Linked DNA regions of Rattus norvegicus. The protein of the gene in region 1 interacts with the protein of each later gene in a pairwise test. Links are inferred from orthologs where the notes say so. Each region holds a gene or a part of one and is shown on either strand. Other genes may lie near its edges.

Region 1 (3,746 bases):
TAAGAGGTCAGAGCCCCACCTAAGCTCCCTCACAGCTCCCCCCATCTCCCTGCCCCCACCCCTCTTATACCTTGGGGGTCCCTGTTTCACAGTATCCCCCTAGCCCACCCCACCCCCGTGTACCTTGGGGGTCCCTGTTTCAATTCCAGTTTCTACTGTCCTCCCCAGGGATATGGCCTCCAATGAAGGCAGTCGCATCAATGCTGCCTCTGTGGCCAGCACTGCCATTGCTGCTGCCCAGTGGGCAATCTCACAGGTACTTGGCCTCTGCCCCCATCACCCTGGCATCTAACTTTCTTAACCCTTCTGTATTCTTTCTGCAAACAACAAAGTAGACTTGTTAACAAACTGTTGTGCCCTGTTACAAGTGTTGTAGGCTTTCCTACCTTTACTCAGTTACTCCTGCCTTTCTAGATCCATCCCTACTCCATCCCTTCTGTCATTCCCAGTCACTTGTTAGACTTTTTTTCTTCTTTAAGATTTGTTTTTACTTTATTTTTATGTGTATGAGTGTTTTGCCTGTACCTATGCATGTGCACCATGTGTATGTGCAGTGCCTGCAGAAGTCAAAAGAGGGTGTCTGATCCCTTCAACCTAGATTTTTGAATGCTTGGAATAACCATATAGGTGCTGGGAACTGAACCTGTCTTCTGAGTCCTCTCTCCATCCCTGTCTCCTGCACTTTTCTTGCTAGCATTCCCTGGGTTGGTTGTCTATGCTGTTGGGGAGTACTTTTTTTTTAATTGTTCTCAGTTGGTCTAATATGTTGCATATTCTTTGAGTGTGTGTGTGTGTGATTCATCGTTTAAGTATATGTGCCATGAATAAAAAGGAATTTATAAGTATCTAAAAAGTACTTTGGGAGCCAGATAGAGTGATAAACACCTGTAATCCCAGTTCTTATGAGGTAGAGGCAGGAGGATTGCCAAAGTCCCAGGCCAGCATGGGCTACATAGGTGTAGGTGGGGGGGGGGTAAAGGAAAACAAAAGGGAAGAGATTAAGAGTGTCTTGCTTGGTATGAGGAGTAAATAACACATGTACCTTATCAGTATCAGTCTAGTGTACATTTGGACATGTAGCCTTTTCCTGTCTCTTTTCTTGTGACTGTTCTCTTATGACCAGGACCCCTTGATTTTTACTTAAGACTACATGCTTTTCTGTCAGGTAGAAATCCTAGCTCCACATGTAGGGACGGGTACTTTTAGCAGATTTCTTTATTTATGTTCCCTCCTGATCTAATGATCTCTCTTCTGCCCCTCAGGCCTCCCAGGGTGGGGAGAGTACCTGGGCTGCCCCCGAGGAGCCACCAGTTGACTACAGCTACTACCAACAGGATGAGGGCTATGGCAGCAGCCAGGGAACAGATTCCCTCTATGCCCATGGCTACCTTAAGAATACCAAGGGCCCTGGCATGACTGGGACCAAAGGGGACACATCTGGAGCAGGTGAGCCTCATCCTCTCTTGCTGAGCCTAATTGTGGGGCCTAGAGGCCATATGCTCTGACATTCATGGGCATTCATTCTCCTTGGTTTTCTTTTCAGGTCCTGAGACCTCCCTTGAGGGTGGGACAGACTCTGTGTCACTGCAGGCTTTCTCTCGAGCCCAGCCTGGTGCTGCCCCTGGACTCTATCAGCAATCAGCTGAGGGGAGCAGTGGCCAGGGCACTGCTACCAACAGCCAGGTGAGAATGGCATTGGTACTCTGGGGAGGCTGGTAGGCTGGCAAGGTGCATCCTGAGTGGGCAGGGTGGTATTAACAGACACTGAGTCCTGTTCCCTTATGTGACCCATGAGTAGTCATATACCATCATGTCACCTGCTGTGCTCAAGTCTGAGCTCCAGAGCCCTACTCATCCCAGCTCTGCCTTACCACCGGCCACCAGTCCCACTGCCCCAGAGTCCTACAGCCAGTACCGTGAGTATCCATAGCCTGTGGGTAAGGGTATGGACTTCTCTAAACAGAGAGGAATTCCACAACCTTGCCTTTGCTCCCCACAGCTGTTCCTGATGTCTCTACTTACCAATATGATGAGACATCTGGCTACTACTATGACCCCCAGACTGGTCTATACTATGATCCCAACTCCCAGGTAAGTGATAGGGTAGCTTAGGGAAAACTGGAGTGTGGCTTTGTGGTAGCTACCTCTACACATACTTCCTCACATCCCCTCTTCCCATTCTCTCCTTCAGTATTACTACAATGCTCAGAGTCAGCAGTACCTATACTGGGATGGGGAGCGGCGGACCTACATACCTGCCTTGGAGCAGTCTGCTGATGGACATAAGGACACAGGGGCATCATCAAAGGAGGGAAAAGAGAAAAAAGAGAAGCATAAGACGAAGACGGCCCAACAGGTGACCTTCCAGCCATCATCTGGTTGTTTGGAGTCTATGTTCTGTCACTTTTTGCTCTCACCTGCTTTAGAAAGAAGGGTGGTGGGTAGGTATGGACAGGGATAGTAACTGTTTCAGATAGACAGTACTCCTGAGCTAGATCTCTTTTGAGGGTACTATAGCAGGACCATCTGAGTGAACTCTGACAGCGTTTCTCTATCCTACAAAGGAACCTTCATGCTGGTGGTAGATGTGTATTGATCCCAGAGAAATTCTCATACCCTATAAGGAGTTGAGTAGGAGAAGAAACACTGCAGGGTTTTCTAGTAGAGAAAAATTAGAAGGAACCTCAGTCTCTGTGGAGAAAAGGTATGGCATTGAAGCAAACAATAAATATTCTCTCCACCTGATTCTCAAAATGTTTCATGCCCCAGGAAAACCACAAAACATTAATGTGACATGATGTCACATGCCTTAGTTAGGTTTCTGTTGCTGTGACAATCACTGACCAAAAAAAGCAGTATGGGTATGAAAGTGTTGATTCCATCATAAAGGAAAGTCAAAGGAGGTACAGATTTGAAGCTACAGAGCAGGAAGGGTTCTTGCTGCAGGGGCCATGGGTGAGAAAGTAGAGAGCCAAGCTTGAGGAATTCTGGAAACTGTAACCTCAACCCTTAACCCCTAGATTGCCAAGGACATGGAGCGGTGGGCCCGCAGTCTCAACAAGCAAAAAGAAAACTTCAAAAACAGCTTCCAGCCTATTAGTGCTCTACGAGATGATGAAAGGCGGGAATCAGCCACTGCAGATGCAGGCTATGCCATCCTTGAGAAGAAGGTATATTGTAACTATCCATCTGTACCCCACCATTCTTTAGGTTCTCTTACCATTCTTTAGGGTTCTCTGTGGAGCTTTGAATTTCTGTTTCTTCTGCCTCAGGGAGCACTAGCTGAAAGACAGCACACCAGCATGGATCTCCCAAAGTTGGCCAGTGATGACCGCCCTGTAAGTTTCAGGACAAAAGGGGTAGGGGTCCCTGATCTTAGCAGGTGTGACTGACTGCCCACCCTTACCCTCTACAGAGCCCACCTCGAGGGCTGGTGGCAGCCTATAGTGGAGAGAGTGACAGTGAGGAGGAGCAGGAGCGAGGGGGTCCTGAGCGGGAAGAAAAGCTCACAGACTGGCAGAAGCTAGCCTGTCTGCTCTGCCGCCGCCAGTTTCCCAGCAAGGAGGCGCTCATCCGGCACCAGCAGCTCTCTGGACTCCACAAGGTGATTGAGGAGAGAGTTGGTAGGATAGCCCGTGTCTAGCCCAGCCGAGCCTAGTTGCTTTACTCTATCCTGTCCCCCTTTACAGCAAAACCTTGAGATTCATCGACGGGCCCACTTGTCAGAAAATGAATTGGAAGCACTA
Region 2 (4,432 bases), on another chromosome or scaffold:
GACTTTAAAGTACCAAGGATCTTACTAGAAAACTAGCCAGGGAGTTGTGGGACACACCTTTAATCCTAGCTCTCAAGAGGCAGGAGCAACTGGGTCTCTGAGTTTGAGACCAGCCTGGTCTACAGAGTTAGTTCTAGGATAGCCAGGGCTACACAGAGAAACCCCAGTCTTGAAAATAAAAACAGACAAACCTGAGAAAAAAAGAAAAAGAAAAAAGAAAAAGGAACTAGACCTGTGACAATCTCTCTTTGCACCTTCCTTTGCCTCTCCCCAGATAGGCTCTTCAGCTCTCACAATCTCTGGCCTTCAAGATGAGCTGTCTCATCTTCAGGAACTATTAAGAAAATGGACACCAAGAATATCTCCGGAGGACCACAGCAAGAAAAGAGATCCAAATACTATCCTTTCTCAGATCTGCTGAAACTGCTAGCCATCTCAAAGGCAGGGCAGAGGGCGGGGGTTTGTTTCTGCTGATGTTTATGTCTGACCTTGGTGCTTCGGGTTTGGTATTCCAGTCTGTAAAGCTCACTTAGTAGGCCAGTTTCTGTAGATGGTGCTACCAACCTCCAGCTCTCCTGTCTCGTTTGGTTCCTGGAGCTATTTTTGTTTCTTGTGATTTGAAAAATAAGAAACAAAACCAATTCAGAATGATTGCCTTTTTTCGAGGCAATTCTGTGCCATTTGGATGGTTGTCAAAAGTATGATATCAGAGACCCTTTTCATCAGCCCCAGCAAGGTGTCCTAGAGACCTCATTCTCAACCCCTCAACACTACATTGAAATCTTTTCTTAGTCTTCTGTGGGAATGAGGTGAATAAGGGAGACACCTCCTCCTCCCACTGTATATTTTTGTAGCAGCATTTCTATTTAAGGAGTTCATTAAAGCACAGTATTTCTACACATTGCTGGTATTTTCTTGTATTGAATGAAGATCTCAGCAAAGCGGTGGTGGTTGTGGGGTAGTGTGAACTGAGAAAAGGACACTTATTATTGTAAGGAAATAAAGGATTGGCAGGGCTGGGCAGAATGCACATGAAATATTGGGAAAGCCCCCCCGCCCCACACACACATACGCACACACACCTTTTTTGAGACAAGGTCTCTCTGTATATCAGGCTAGCCTGGAATTTTTTTTTTTTTTTTTCCGAGACAGATTTTTCTGTGAGGCCATGGCTGTCCTGGATCTCGTTCTGTAGACCTGGCTAGCCTTTAGCTCAGAGATCCACACCTGCCTCTTAAAGCTTCAATACCTGCCTGTGAGCACCCTCGGTCTCAAATTTCCCAAGATTGGAGGAGCTCTGACACTTACGGGAAACCAAAATACCTCGAGCTCAAGCCTAGGCCGAGGGCGAATCTGCACGAGCGTTGTGGACCGAATTAAAAATAGGCTGTTTTCAAAGGCAGTCCTGGCCCTGGATATGGCGGGACTTTGCCTAGCACACGTCTCTGCGTCACAGAACATACAAAGCTTGGTTTAGCATTTCAATTTGCGCTTGGGGTGCAGTGTGATGCCCTAACAGTCTGGAAGCATTCAGGGCTTTAGTTAACTGTATCAAGACCGGCTGATTCACTTCTGTTCCACCCCGATTGCTGCGGCAGCTCCAGAGCACCTTTCCCTTCTGTCCGACACGAATCTGACTCCTAAGATGGCCGCGATCGCTTCCGGCTCCTCCCTTGTCGCCGGCCCCGCCCAATGTGAGCCTTGGCCCGGAAGTGGAAGTAGAAACTGAGGTCAGGGGGGCGGTGCTGCTGCTTAGAGACGGCGGGAGCCCTTTCGCCATGGCTGCCGGACCGATCTCCGAACGGAATCAGGGTAATTGGGAGAAAAGAGACCAAGATAGGGGCAGGGAAGTGAAGAGCTGATTAATGCCAGAAGCATTTCTGCTTGGGTGGGAGACGAGATCCCTCTGATGTGAGACCGACCTCTGGGCGCCTGGCTCGCCTCGAGGCCAAGTGGAGGCCCAGGCCTATGAAGAGTGATGCTTCTAGATCCATTCTCTTTAAATACTCCTCTACCAAGAAGACAAAATTCTCCGGAAATACAGGATCAGCAAGAATGCCAAATTAGACGTAGCGGATTTTTCTAGACTGTGGAAGCTGAGGGAATTTCGGGTCTTTAGTTAACGTTTTTGGTTTTTATTTTACTTTTCACTCTTGACCCTCTCCTTACCTCCTGCTTCTTCCCTTTAGATGCCACGGTGTACGTGGGAGGTCTAGACGAGAAAGTGAGCGAGCCACTGCTATGGGAGCTCTTTCTCCAGGCAGGGCCAGTGGTCAACACCCACATGCCAAAGGATAGAGTCACTGGCCAGCACCAAGGTGAGTACATGTCGAGAATTAACCCTGTATAGCGTTAACGGCCCCTGAAGAGTCACAACTCCAGTCACAACTACTTTGGAATGAGCAACCTAAAGGTTCTTTTCCCCCTTAAGCTTCAGTTCAGTTTTTGGAATAGTTTCTCTTAGCACTAGTTACTGGAACCATTCTCAAGTGAAGTAAGATTATTCTTCTGTCATGTTCTTTTTATTGTTTTATTTTCAAGACAGTGGTTCTCTGTGTAGTCCTTGGCTGTCCTGGAACATGCTCTGTAGACCAGGCTGGCCTCAAACTCAGGGCTCCACCTCTGCTCCAGCATGGTGGCATTAGAAGCATGAGCCCCCACCCAGCCCTTACCTGCTTTGTTCTTTGTGTTTGCAAACTGGTGAGTTAATGTTTGATTTTGAATCTCTTCACCTGAGTGGTCTTTTTTCATTGGTTTCCTAGGCTATGGCTTTGTTGAATTCTTGAGTGAGGAAGATGCTGACTATGCCATTAAGATTATGAACATGATCAAACTCTATGGGAAGCCAATACGGGTGAACAAAGCCTCGGCTCACAACAAAAACCTGGATGTAGGAGCCAACATTTTCATTGGAAATCTGGACCCAGAAATTGATGAGAAGTTGCTTTACGATACTTTTAGCGCCTTTGGAGTCATCTTACAGACCCCCAAGATTATGCGGGACCCTGACACAGGCAACTCCAAGGGTTACGCCTTCATTAATTTTGCTTCATTTGATGCTTCAGATGCAGCAATTGAGGCCATGAATGGGCAGTACCTGTGTAACCGCCCTATCACTGTGTCTTATGCCTTCAAGAAGGACTCTAAGGGTGAACGACATGGCTCAGCAGCTGAACGACTTCTGGCAGCCCAGAACCCGCTGTCTCAGGCTGACCGCCCTCATCAGCTGTTTGCCGATGCACCCCCTCCACCCTCTGCCCCCAATCCTGTGGTTTCATCCCTGGGTTCTGGGCTTCCTCCACCAGGTACAGCTTGTAGTTCAGACTATGCCAGTGAGGCCCATGGGAGGGAGGTCAGGGGGCAGAGGAAGCCCTGGAAGAGTAAGCTGTGAAGTCAGTGGGCAGTGAGGGAGGAGTGAGGATGCTGGTGGGAGGGAAGAAGTTGGTGCATGTCCTTAGGAAGCTGGAGTGTAGCATGCTGGGAAAGACATTCTGTCCGATACCACTAATTGTCCTTCATTTCTTAAACAGGAATGCCACCTCCTGGTTCGTTCCCACCTCCAGTGCCACCTCCTGGGGCCCTTCCTCCTGGGATACCCCCAGCAATGCCCCCACCACCTATGCCACCTGGGGCTGGAGGACATGGTCCCCCAGCAGCAGGAACTCCAGGGGCTGGACATCCTGGTCATGGACATTCACATCCTCATCCATTCCCACCAGGTGGGATGCCCCATCCAGGTAAGTGCGCTGAGCTTGTAGAGGGGCCTTTGTACTGCTTCTCCCAGTGCTCTTTGTCTTGGGTGGAAATAGTCCAGAGTCCTTTTCTTCAGAAAACAAACAATACTTTGTACATGTTGGTGTGCTCCTGTGTTATCTCCACCTATAGCTTGTGCTTGGCAAAAGCTCTCAACCTCTCCTCTGCTTCCAAGGTTGCCAAATCTAGAAGACATTTCTGCTTTTGGTTTTTCGAGACAGGGTTTCTCTGTGTAAACCTTGCTGTTCTGGAACTCCCCCTGTAGACCAGGTTACCCTTAAACTCAGGGATCCTCCTGCCTCTGCCTCCCAAGTGCTGGGATTAAAGGCATATGTATTTTTAGATTTTCTAATGTCAACTTTAGCAACCTGGATCAATTCCTTTTTTATGTATGTGTAGATTTCGTGCTTGGTTCTCTTTTCTGTGTTTATCTGTAGTGTTAAATGTGAAGGTTATGATTTATTCTGGGTCTCTGTTCTGAGGTTCTTGGTAGACTAGAAAAGGCTGCTGCTCAACCCACAGTTTACTTTTCTCTTTCCAACACCATCTTCAATGGCTCTCACTTGTAGGAGCCCAGTCCACAACTCTGGGGGTTTGTCTGTTCAGTCTTCCACTTTACATAGCAAGTCTAGCTTATGTTTTTGTTGTTTGCCACAAGCCAGTGCTCTAGACTGCACTG
Region 3 (3,746 bases), on another chromosome or scaffold:
GCATCTTTTTGTCTGCAAATCTCTCCCAAGGCCATGTCATGTTCTCTTGGGGTCTACTTTAACTAGGCTGAGTTAACTCTTTGAATAAAATGTAGGTAGAGGATGGCTCTGTCTCCTGCTCTTCCTGTTCTTTCTTTAGTTCCCTGACTAGAGCTCCATGACAAAGAGAATGTTTCTAGAGTTCAGCACAATAAAATATAACTTGTAGTGGTCTTGGGTCTCTGAACTCTTGGGAACACAGGATTCAAGGCATGTAAAATCCAGCAGAACATCACTGAGCATGCTTAAACATCCTTTCCTTAAGGGTTGTTGGAGCATGTGTATTTATTTGAAAATAGGAAACAAGGTTTCTCTTAAATTAAGAGTTCTGTTGCTTTTTGAAGTTGTCCTAACCAGAATACTTCTGATCTTTCTGCTGAGGCCAATGGAAAGGCACCAAATGATTTGTTTCTTTTCTCTTACCTGCTTTACTTGTATTCTTTTATGTGGTACCAGACTTGCTGAGAGATGAGCTGGTCCTATCGCTATAGCCAAAGCCTGCCTGGGCAGTAATATAAGCTCTGTTTTGCTTTGCAGGAATACCTCCACGGGCCCACTCCCGAGATTCTAGTGATTCTGCTGATGGACGGGCAACCCCCTCTGAGAATCTTGTACCCTCATCTGCTCGTGTGGATAAGCCCCCCAGCGTGTTGCCCTACTTTAACCGTCCTCCTTCAGCCCTTCCCCTAATGGGTCTGCCCCCACCCCCAATTCCACCCCCACCACCTCTCTCCTCAAGCTTTGGTGTCCCTCCTCCTCCTCCTGGTATCCACTACCAGCATCTCATGCCCCCCCCTCCTCGATTACCTCCTCATCTGGCTGTACCTCCCCCTGGGGCCATCCCACCAGCCCTTCACCTCAATCCAGCCTTCTTCCCCCCACCAAATGCTACAGTGGGGCCTCCACCAGATACTTACATGAAGGCCTCTACACCCTATAACCACCATGGCAGGTAAAAACTATATTTCCCTGCAGCTTTGAGCCAGGATAGTAGAGTATATAGTGTTGTTTGTTTGTTTGTTTGTTTGTTTGTTTGTTTGTTTTTGAGACAAGGCCTCACTTATATAGACTGCCGCCCTCAAACTCAGCAGTTCACCTGCCTCTGCTTCCTGAATGTTGGTATTAAATTTCTGTCATATACTATTACACCAAGCAATAGTAGACAGTGTTTTGTCAGACAGTGATGATGGTTTGTGTTTTTAGTTCCAGTACTCAAGAGGCAGAGTGGGTGAATCTCTTGAGTTTGAGGATAGCTTGGTCTACAGAGTGAGTTCCAGGACAGCCAGAGCTACAGAGAAACCCTGTCTCAAACAAAACAAAGGGGCTAGAGAGGTGGCTCAGTGGTTAAGAGCACTGACTGTTCTTCCAGAGGACAGGGGTTCAGTTTCCAGCACTCAGTTAACTCGCAACTGTCTTTTAACTCCTATTTTCAGGGGACTTGGCACCCTCACATAGACATATATACACGGCAGAATAGTAACTTTTTTTTTTTTTTAAAGAAACAAACAAAAAAAACAGTGTTTTAGACATTTGTTTTCCATGAATGAGCACTGAATGCTGGTGGTTTTCCTCTGTATTCTCACTGTGATGTCGAGTCCTGGGGTATAGATTAGTATCTACCAGAGGTTTGTTTTACATGCCTGTATGTGCAAGTACACATGTGTATACAGCTACATGTGTGCTTGTGTGCACTTGCATATGGTAGCCAAAGGACTTTTAGTGTCATTCTCAAACATGCTGTCGGTTGGGGATTTGGCTCAGTGGTAGAGCTCTTGCCTAGCAACCGCAAGGCCCTGGGTTCGGTCCCCAGCTCCGAAAAAAAAGAAAAAAAAAAAAAAAAACATGCTGTCCACCTTGCTTGAGACAGTCTTTCATTGGCCTGGAGCAGACCCAAGTAGATTAAACTGGCTAGCCAGTGGGCCCCAGGGATCCACTTGTCTTCCACTTTCCCAACACTGGGTTATAAGCACGCTCCACCATGTGTGATATTTTTATGTAGATTCTGGACATTGAACTCAGGACCTCATGCTTACATGGCAAGCACTTTATGAGCCAAGTTACTTCCCACAGCTCTCTTTTTTTTTTTTTTTTAATTGAGTGTTTTCTGTTTTCAGCTTATCTACTTGACCCAAAACATCTCTTTCTTAGCTCCCTTTAAGCAGCTTGTTTAAACTCTGTGCCATAAATGGCTGCTGCAAATGCTGCAATGATTACTACTGTTGAGTTAAACCAAAATTAGGAACACATGCTATAAATCCTGTCCTTAAAGTAGAGAATGAACATTTAAGACATACCTAGAGAAGAATTGAGTAATAGTACTGTAGAATGTGATGAAAATAAGAAAGGTTGTGGGCAGTCAACTGTGTAATTGTCTCTCTGCAGCCGAGATTCAGGCCCTCTACCGTCTACAGTGAGTGAAGCTGAATTTGAAGAGATAATGAAGCGAAACAGAGCAATTTCCAGCAGTGCCATTTCCAAAGCAGTGTCTGGAGCTAGTGCAGGTGATTAACTCTTACTTTACTGCTTTTGCCTTAAATTTTTCCCCTTTGTCATTTCCATCTGGAAAACTTTAGAAGTTAAGTTGGAGCACTGTTAGAGGTCAGAAGATGTGCGGCAAGCACTGGGGTTTTAGAAGTGGTACCTCAACTAAAGAAGTCTGAGCAGAGCTGGTGACCTGTGGATAGGCTGTCCTCTAAAGGAAAGTCTGTTGTCATCCTAAGGCATATTACCCTTTCAGCTAACATGCCCTCCCCTCAGCAGTGCATGCAGAGTCAGCCCCTAGGATTCTGAAAGCCCTGGACATAAAAGAAGAGGATGAAGAGTGCAAAGTTTATGGTTGTAACTCAGTAGGTAGAGCAATGGCTTGGCATACTAGAATAGAAAGGTTTGGAGTTCAGGTCATTCTCACTTTTTCCTGGGGGTTTACCATATGGATCTAAATGTAATATAGACTGTTAATACTCAAAGAAGGAAGTTCAAATTGACTGTTAACCTGTTTTTCATAATTTCTGAACTTTGGTTTCAATTTGATTCTGCAGAGTAGTTTAAAAAAAAATGATGTGTTCTTGTCAGTTCTTCCCTCACCAGAAAAACATAACTTTACCTCTTAAATTAAAAAATAGTGCATGATCATTGTTATACAATATACAGAGGAGTTTAGAGAAAATCATCTTTTTTCCTTTTTCAATGTCAGTCTCATCACCCTGAATGGCAGATAAGTAAATCTTTTATCTCCCCCTCTTTTTCTTATTCCAGGCATAGAAACTATAATACTTATTCTCTGTGCCTCTAAAACAGAACTTCCTTGCCAGTATAGAGTTGTTGTTCCTGGTCCTTCACAGTGCCGCAATTCCTGCATACTTTCTATCCATTCTATTCTTGCTACTTTGCATAAACAAAGCCACCCAGTTATCATTTTCAGCGGACCTCTGTGTGGATTTGTTGAGTCAAGTGCACATTTAAATGTACGTGTGTGTGTGTGTGTGTGTGTGTGTGTGTGTGTGTGTGTGTGTGTGTGAGAGAGAGAGAGAGAGAGAGAGAGAGAGAGAGAGAGAGAGAGAGAGAGGATAGTTTGTGCACCACAATGGTCTCATATATATGGTGTGTTTGTGTGTGTTGCGTATATCATCTGGTGAAACCTGATTTTATGTAAGTACACTTTGTGGTATTTCAACAATGATGAAACTGTCCAACAGCAAATTGCTCAG
Region 4 (4,537 bases), on another chromosome or scaffold:
ACGTAACTGCAGAGAGAAGTCCAGAAAGGTAAAGCCTTACTTGGGGAAGGTAAGGGAAGCAGACATAACACATAAGATTCATCTTAAGGATACATGGGGAGGTCAGGGGATGGGCATCCCAGGCCAAGCAAAACTCTGTATTTGAGCAGTTAAAGGAGTTGAAGGACAAGCAGGGCAGGATGGTAAAAACACAGAGTACCTGCTGCCTATGCAGCCACCATAAGCAATTTGGATTTTACTCACTCCAGAGGTAGACTCTGAAGTCTAAGTTTTATAAGCAAGGAACTGGCAGTGTTTTTACGAGGGACAGAGAGAAGGCTGGAGACTAGGACTGACAAAAAGTTGAGTAGGAGACTGAGTACTTGAATTCAAGATTGCTGGTGAGAGAATAACCAAGAGGTACTAGTTTTACTCTATGAGATTAACCTAAGTCTTGAGGAAGGGGGAGAAATCCTAGGAGCAGCTGATAAAAACACTGGGAACCAAGACTAATGGGAGTTGGGTCCCTGGAAGCCCACAGGGTGGAAGGAAGAGAATCCACTCCCACAGGCCGTCCTCTGACCTACATGTGTGCTTGGTGCCCATTTGCCTAAAGTTATAGATGGTGTGAACTGCCTTGTGGGTGCTGGGAACCGAATCTGGGTCCTCTGCAAGAGCAACAAATGCTCTTTACCACTGAGTTAAGTCCTGGTTTTGTTTGTTTGATTGATCTCATTGATACCAGGGTTCCAGATTTAAGTAGCCGGCAAATGCATTAAACCACATACATGGTGACTCAGAAGGCAAGTCCATGTGTGCTGAAGTTAGAGGGGCTAGTAAAGGATGGTATGCGGGCTCAAGAGTCAAAGGTCTACAATGATGTCGGGCACACGCGCCCCAGACTCAAAACTACAGAAGGTCAAGCATGTAACACTTCTCTCTAGCATGAAAAATAGCTGCAACAGCTCGCAATTTCCAGCACAGACAGAACGCAAAGGTAACAACGTTCCAAGCTGGAGAAACGGCTCAGCGGTTAAGAGCACTGACTGCTCTTCCAGAGGTCCTGAGTTCAATTCCTAGCAACCGCATGTGGCTCACAGCCATCTGCAGTGGGATCCGCTGCCCTCTTCTGGTGAGTCGGAAGACAGCGACAGTGTACTCACAAATATAAAATAAATTTTAAAAAATAAGTGCTTTTGATTCTCAGCTTAGAAGAAATGAAATGCACGTCTGTACTCGCTCTTTAAGTAGACGGCCATCTGGATTCTGAACGTGGAACACAGATTTGTATAAATCACACCTCCGCAGCCGCCCTTTTTAAAAATTACATGTGACCAGGGACGAGCTTTCCCACCTTCCCTTTACGCTTCTGGGTCCAACAGGCGGTTTAAATTGAATTAAGTTTACCACACTCACCAATACAAGACCCTACAAGAGACTAAAGCAAGGCTCCCAAACAAACGCGCTTTCTTCCGGCCAAGGCGCAGAGGACCCACCCACTTCCGCACTGCTGACCACGCCCCCCAGGCACGCCTCGCCCTAACCAATGGTCAGCTTCCCTGGGAACGTTACCTTCGGCTAATCAGAGCCTGCGAGCGAACTCCTCGCGAGAGGTGAGGTTGAAGCTGCCTCCGCCATCTTGAAGATGGGAGACGAGCGACAGCTGTTGTCTTTCTGCTAAAGCAAACACCACAACGGACCGGGTGGTCACCCCCCACGGTGAGGTAATCGTCCCCATAACTGCTAACCAAAGCCACCGAAAGCGGCGACCGTATCAAAGCCGAGCGCGGCGGCACCGACGGCCCCTTCACCTGCCTCCCGGGCAGAGGGGAAGTGTGGAGGGCCAGAAGGATGGTGCAGTCCTGTTCCGCCTACGGCTGCAAGAACCGGTACGATAAGGACAAGCCCGTCTCCTTCCACAAGTAGGTAACTGGCGTGCTCCGCGGCCGCGGCAGGGGCGCGCGGGCGGGTGGAGGCGGAGCCCGGCGCGTGGCCGCGCGAGACCTGGAGGAGGCGGGGCGGCCGGCGGGCTCGGGCGGCAGACGGGGCTGGCCGGCGGGGGCGGGGACCCATGGCTGCGCGTTCCCGGCGCGCGCCGCCTCCGTTGGCTGGGCTCTGCTGAGGCTGCGGCCGCGCCTTTGCGCTCGTGGAGGGTTTCTGGCGAGCAAGCGATGGACGCCTGGAAGCCTCTCGCTGCCCTCCGGATTTCGTCCCAAGCCAAGCCGTGGAAATGTCCCATAGGGATAAACTGGAACTAGAAAAGCATGGGAGGGAGACCTGGCTTCTGACCTCGCTGCTGCTGTTAGGAGGGAAGCAGGATAGCTGAGTGTTGACATCTGACCAGGACTTTTAGACCTGGTTTCAAAGAACCAAGCTTTAAGGATCTGTGGGTTTTAGAGGTGACTCTTGGTATTGCCAAGATGAGCCCCAGTCTTTCAACACACGGTAGTAATGAAACGATAGCATTCACTTTACTCAGATGCCCTGGGAAAGGTTGATGGAACTAATGTTAGCTTTCCCCCACAGCTGTCAGGCCTTGTTCTTGTGTGTGCAGCAAGCAAGAATCCAGGATGAAAAATACTCTCTTGAAAGAAGAAGGCAATAGAATTAACGTTACTGATGGTGATTATTAGCAATGCTAACGGTCCACAAAATGTGACATACTTTTAGGCAGCTAAATTCGTTATTACAAGTTTTATGTTAGGTTTTGGAAGAATTCCTGACTGTATGCAGAGAATAGCTAAGAAATCAGACCCACTGGAAAATTATCCAAACTGTCTATAGGGAAAACAATTACAGAAACAAATTTCAAAATGTTCCCTCAGGGATTTGGGGAGCTAGTGTTTTTGTTTAAAAGTGTTTGTTAGAAAGTAAGAGTTGTATGCTGGTGTTTTCTCTGTGGGAAGAGGATAGAATATGTCCAATTACTACGACTTGATTGATTGAAATTTCATACGCCTTCAGAATGTCAGAACAGATCAGGAAATGGTGACAGGGATATGCATCCGACTTGCCACTTCCCTTTCCTATGCTTTATTAAGATGGCCCAGGAGTCTTCAAATATGCAGACTAGTTAAAAATGGCACACATCGGGGTTGGGGATTTAACTCAGTGGTAGAGCGCTTGCCTAGCAAGCGCAAGGCCCTGGGTTCGGTCCCCAGCTCTGAAAAAAAGAAAAAAGAAAAAAAAAATGGCACACATCAAACTACTGTTTCAACTGCTGGATGTTGAAACATAAAAACAAGAATGAGTCTTATTCCTTATGTAAGAACAGTAAATGGCAAAGATCTTGACAGTTCAGAGTTTGTGCTCTATGCCAGGAGATGAGATACTAAGATTTATAAGAAGCTACCACAGTGGTTGTACTTCTTTTCAGGAATATCTTTTTTCCAGCCTGTGTGCAGTAGCAGTGGAGAAAGCTGGCTGTGTAAAGAATAAACACTAGCAGGAAGATTGGTTAGGTCTTCATAAAGAAAATGATGATCAGGGTCCCACATACCTTATGTAGTGGAATAGTAAAAATAAGTGGAAACATTCCTTTTCAGCCATTTCTGATTCCTCTAGCATCTCCCACCAAGTTTTTGTTATAGAAAAGCATAGTGGCAATAGATACAAGGATTCCCCATTCCATACACTGAATTAAGCCATAAAATAACGTCCTTACCATCTTTGTCACTTGCCCAATTCAGGATGTAGTCTCTTTGTTGGAGTGATTAAAAAGAGCTAGACGTCTATTTCAGGATGTAGACATATGTCCAAGTTTTGTTCTATAAGACACAAAATTTTTAGTAAAAATATGCGTAGAATTTGCACATATGATCAATTTTTTTTCTTTTCTTTTCTTTTTTTTTTTTTTTTTTTTTTTGGAGCTGGGGACCGAACCCAGGGCCTTGCGCTTGCTAGGCAAGTACTCTACCACTGAGCTAAATCCCCAACCCCACATACGATCTATTTTAACTGAACTGTTAAGTGTCTTCAGTATAAAAAGGTGAAGCTCACTGAGTGAGAATAGTAACCGGAACTGATCTCCAATCAGATTCTCCTTAGTATGTTAAGATTTTCCTTAGTATGAGAATGGGGGAAGGGTATTATTTATTTTTTAAAGTAAAGTCAGAGAACTGAATTGTATCTTCTTAGGTTTCCTCTTACTCGTCCCAGTCTTTGTAAACAGTGGGAGGCAGCTGTTAGAAGGAAAAACTTCAAGCCCACTAAGTACAGCAGTATCTGTTCGGAGCACTTTACTCCAGACTGCTTTAAGAGAGAGTGCAACAACAAGCTACTGAAGGAGAACGCTGTGCCCACTATTTTTCTCTATATAGAGCCACATGAGAAGGTAATTTGGGTTCTTAAATGCTGGATTTGTTTTTTTCCTTTCCCGGTCTTTTCTTTGTTTTCTTTCCTCCTCTGCATTCTCTTCCCCTCCCATTCCTTGTGTGAGACAAAGTCTTAAGTAGTCCAGGCTGGCTTTGAGCTTGCGTATAGCTAAGGCTGAATTGGAACTCCTGATCCTCCTGCCTCTACCTTCCAAATTCTATCATAAGCACTGGATTTGAGTGAA

The links.
Region 2: the proteins of Rbm10 (region 1) and Sf3b4 interact in binary tests that used the Homo sapiens proteins (3 or more experiments, as listed by UniProt). The link is inferred for Rattus norvegicus from reciprocal best matches to the Homo sapiens genes RBM10 and SF3B4.
Region 3: the proteins of Rbm10 (region 1) and Cpsf7 interact in binary tests that used the Homo sapiens proteins (3 or more experiments, as listed by UniProt). The two-hybrid records come from large-scale screens. The link is inferred for Rattus norvegicus from reciprocal best matches to the Homo sapiens genes RBM10 and CPSF7.
Region 4: the proteins of Rbm10 (region 1) and Thap1 interact in binary tests that used the Homo sapiens proteins (3 or more experiments, as listed by UniProt). The two-hybrid records come from large-scale screens. The link is inferred for Rattus norvegicus from reciprocal best matches to the Homo sapiens genes RBM10 and THAP1.

The regions. Positions count from the first base shown.
Region 1 is NC_086039.1:4,094,933-4,098,678, reverse strand, and holds part of Rbm10 (RNA-binding protein 10), read left to right. Parts: coding exon 1-6; intron 7-168; coding exon 169-256; intron 257-1,262; coding exon 1,263-1,446; intron 1,447-1,543; coding exon 1,544-1,683; intron 1,684-1,798; coding exon 1,799-1,916; intron 1,917-1,999; coding exon 2,000-2,091; intron 2,092-2,191; coding exon 2,192-2,356; intron 2,357-3,020; coding exon 3,021-3,170; intron 3,171-3,272; coding exon 3,273-3,338; intron 3,339-3,415; coding exon 3,416-3,604; intron 3,605-3,689; coding exon 3,690-3,746. UniProt on the Homo sapiens protein: Binds to ssRNA containing the consensus sequence 5'-AGGUAA-3'. May be involved in post-transcriptional processing, most probably in mRNA splicing. Binds to RNA homopolymers, with a preference for poly(G) and poly(U) and little for poly(A).
Region 2 is NC_086020.1:186,420,126-186,424,557, forward strand, and holds the start of Sf3b4 (splicing factor 3B subunit 4), read left to right. Parts: upstream 1-1,541; 5' UTR 1,542-1,778; coding exon 1,779-1,812; intron 1,813-2,189; coding exon 2,190-2,318; intron 2,319-2,762; coding exon 2,763-3,305; intron 3,306-3,530; coding exon 3,531-3,737; intron 3,738-4,432. Other genes in the region: Mtmr11 (myotubularin-related protein 11), read left to right, coding at 275-421. UniProt on the Homo sapiens protein: Component of the 17S U2 SnRNP complex of the spliceosome, a large ribonucleoprotein complex that removes introns from transcribed pre-mRNAs.
Region 3 is NC_086019.1:216,602,756-216,606,501, forward strand, and holds part of Cpsf7 (cleavage and polyadenylation specificity factor subunit 7), read left to right. Parts: intron 1-576; coding exon 577-991; intron 992-2,421; coding exon 2,422-2,540; intron 2,541-3,746.
Region 4 is NC_086034.1:72,609,751-72,614,287, reverse strand, and holds the start of Thap1 (THAP domain-containing protein 1), read left to right. Parts: upstream 1-1,597; 5' UTR 1,598-1,830; coding exon 1,831-1,901; exon of another isoform or gene 1,902-1,954; intron 1,955-4,116; coding exon 4,117-4,312; intron 4,313-4,537. UniProt on the Homo sapiens protein: DNA-binding transcription regulator that regulates endothelial cell proliferation and G1/S cell-cycle progression.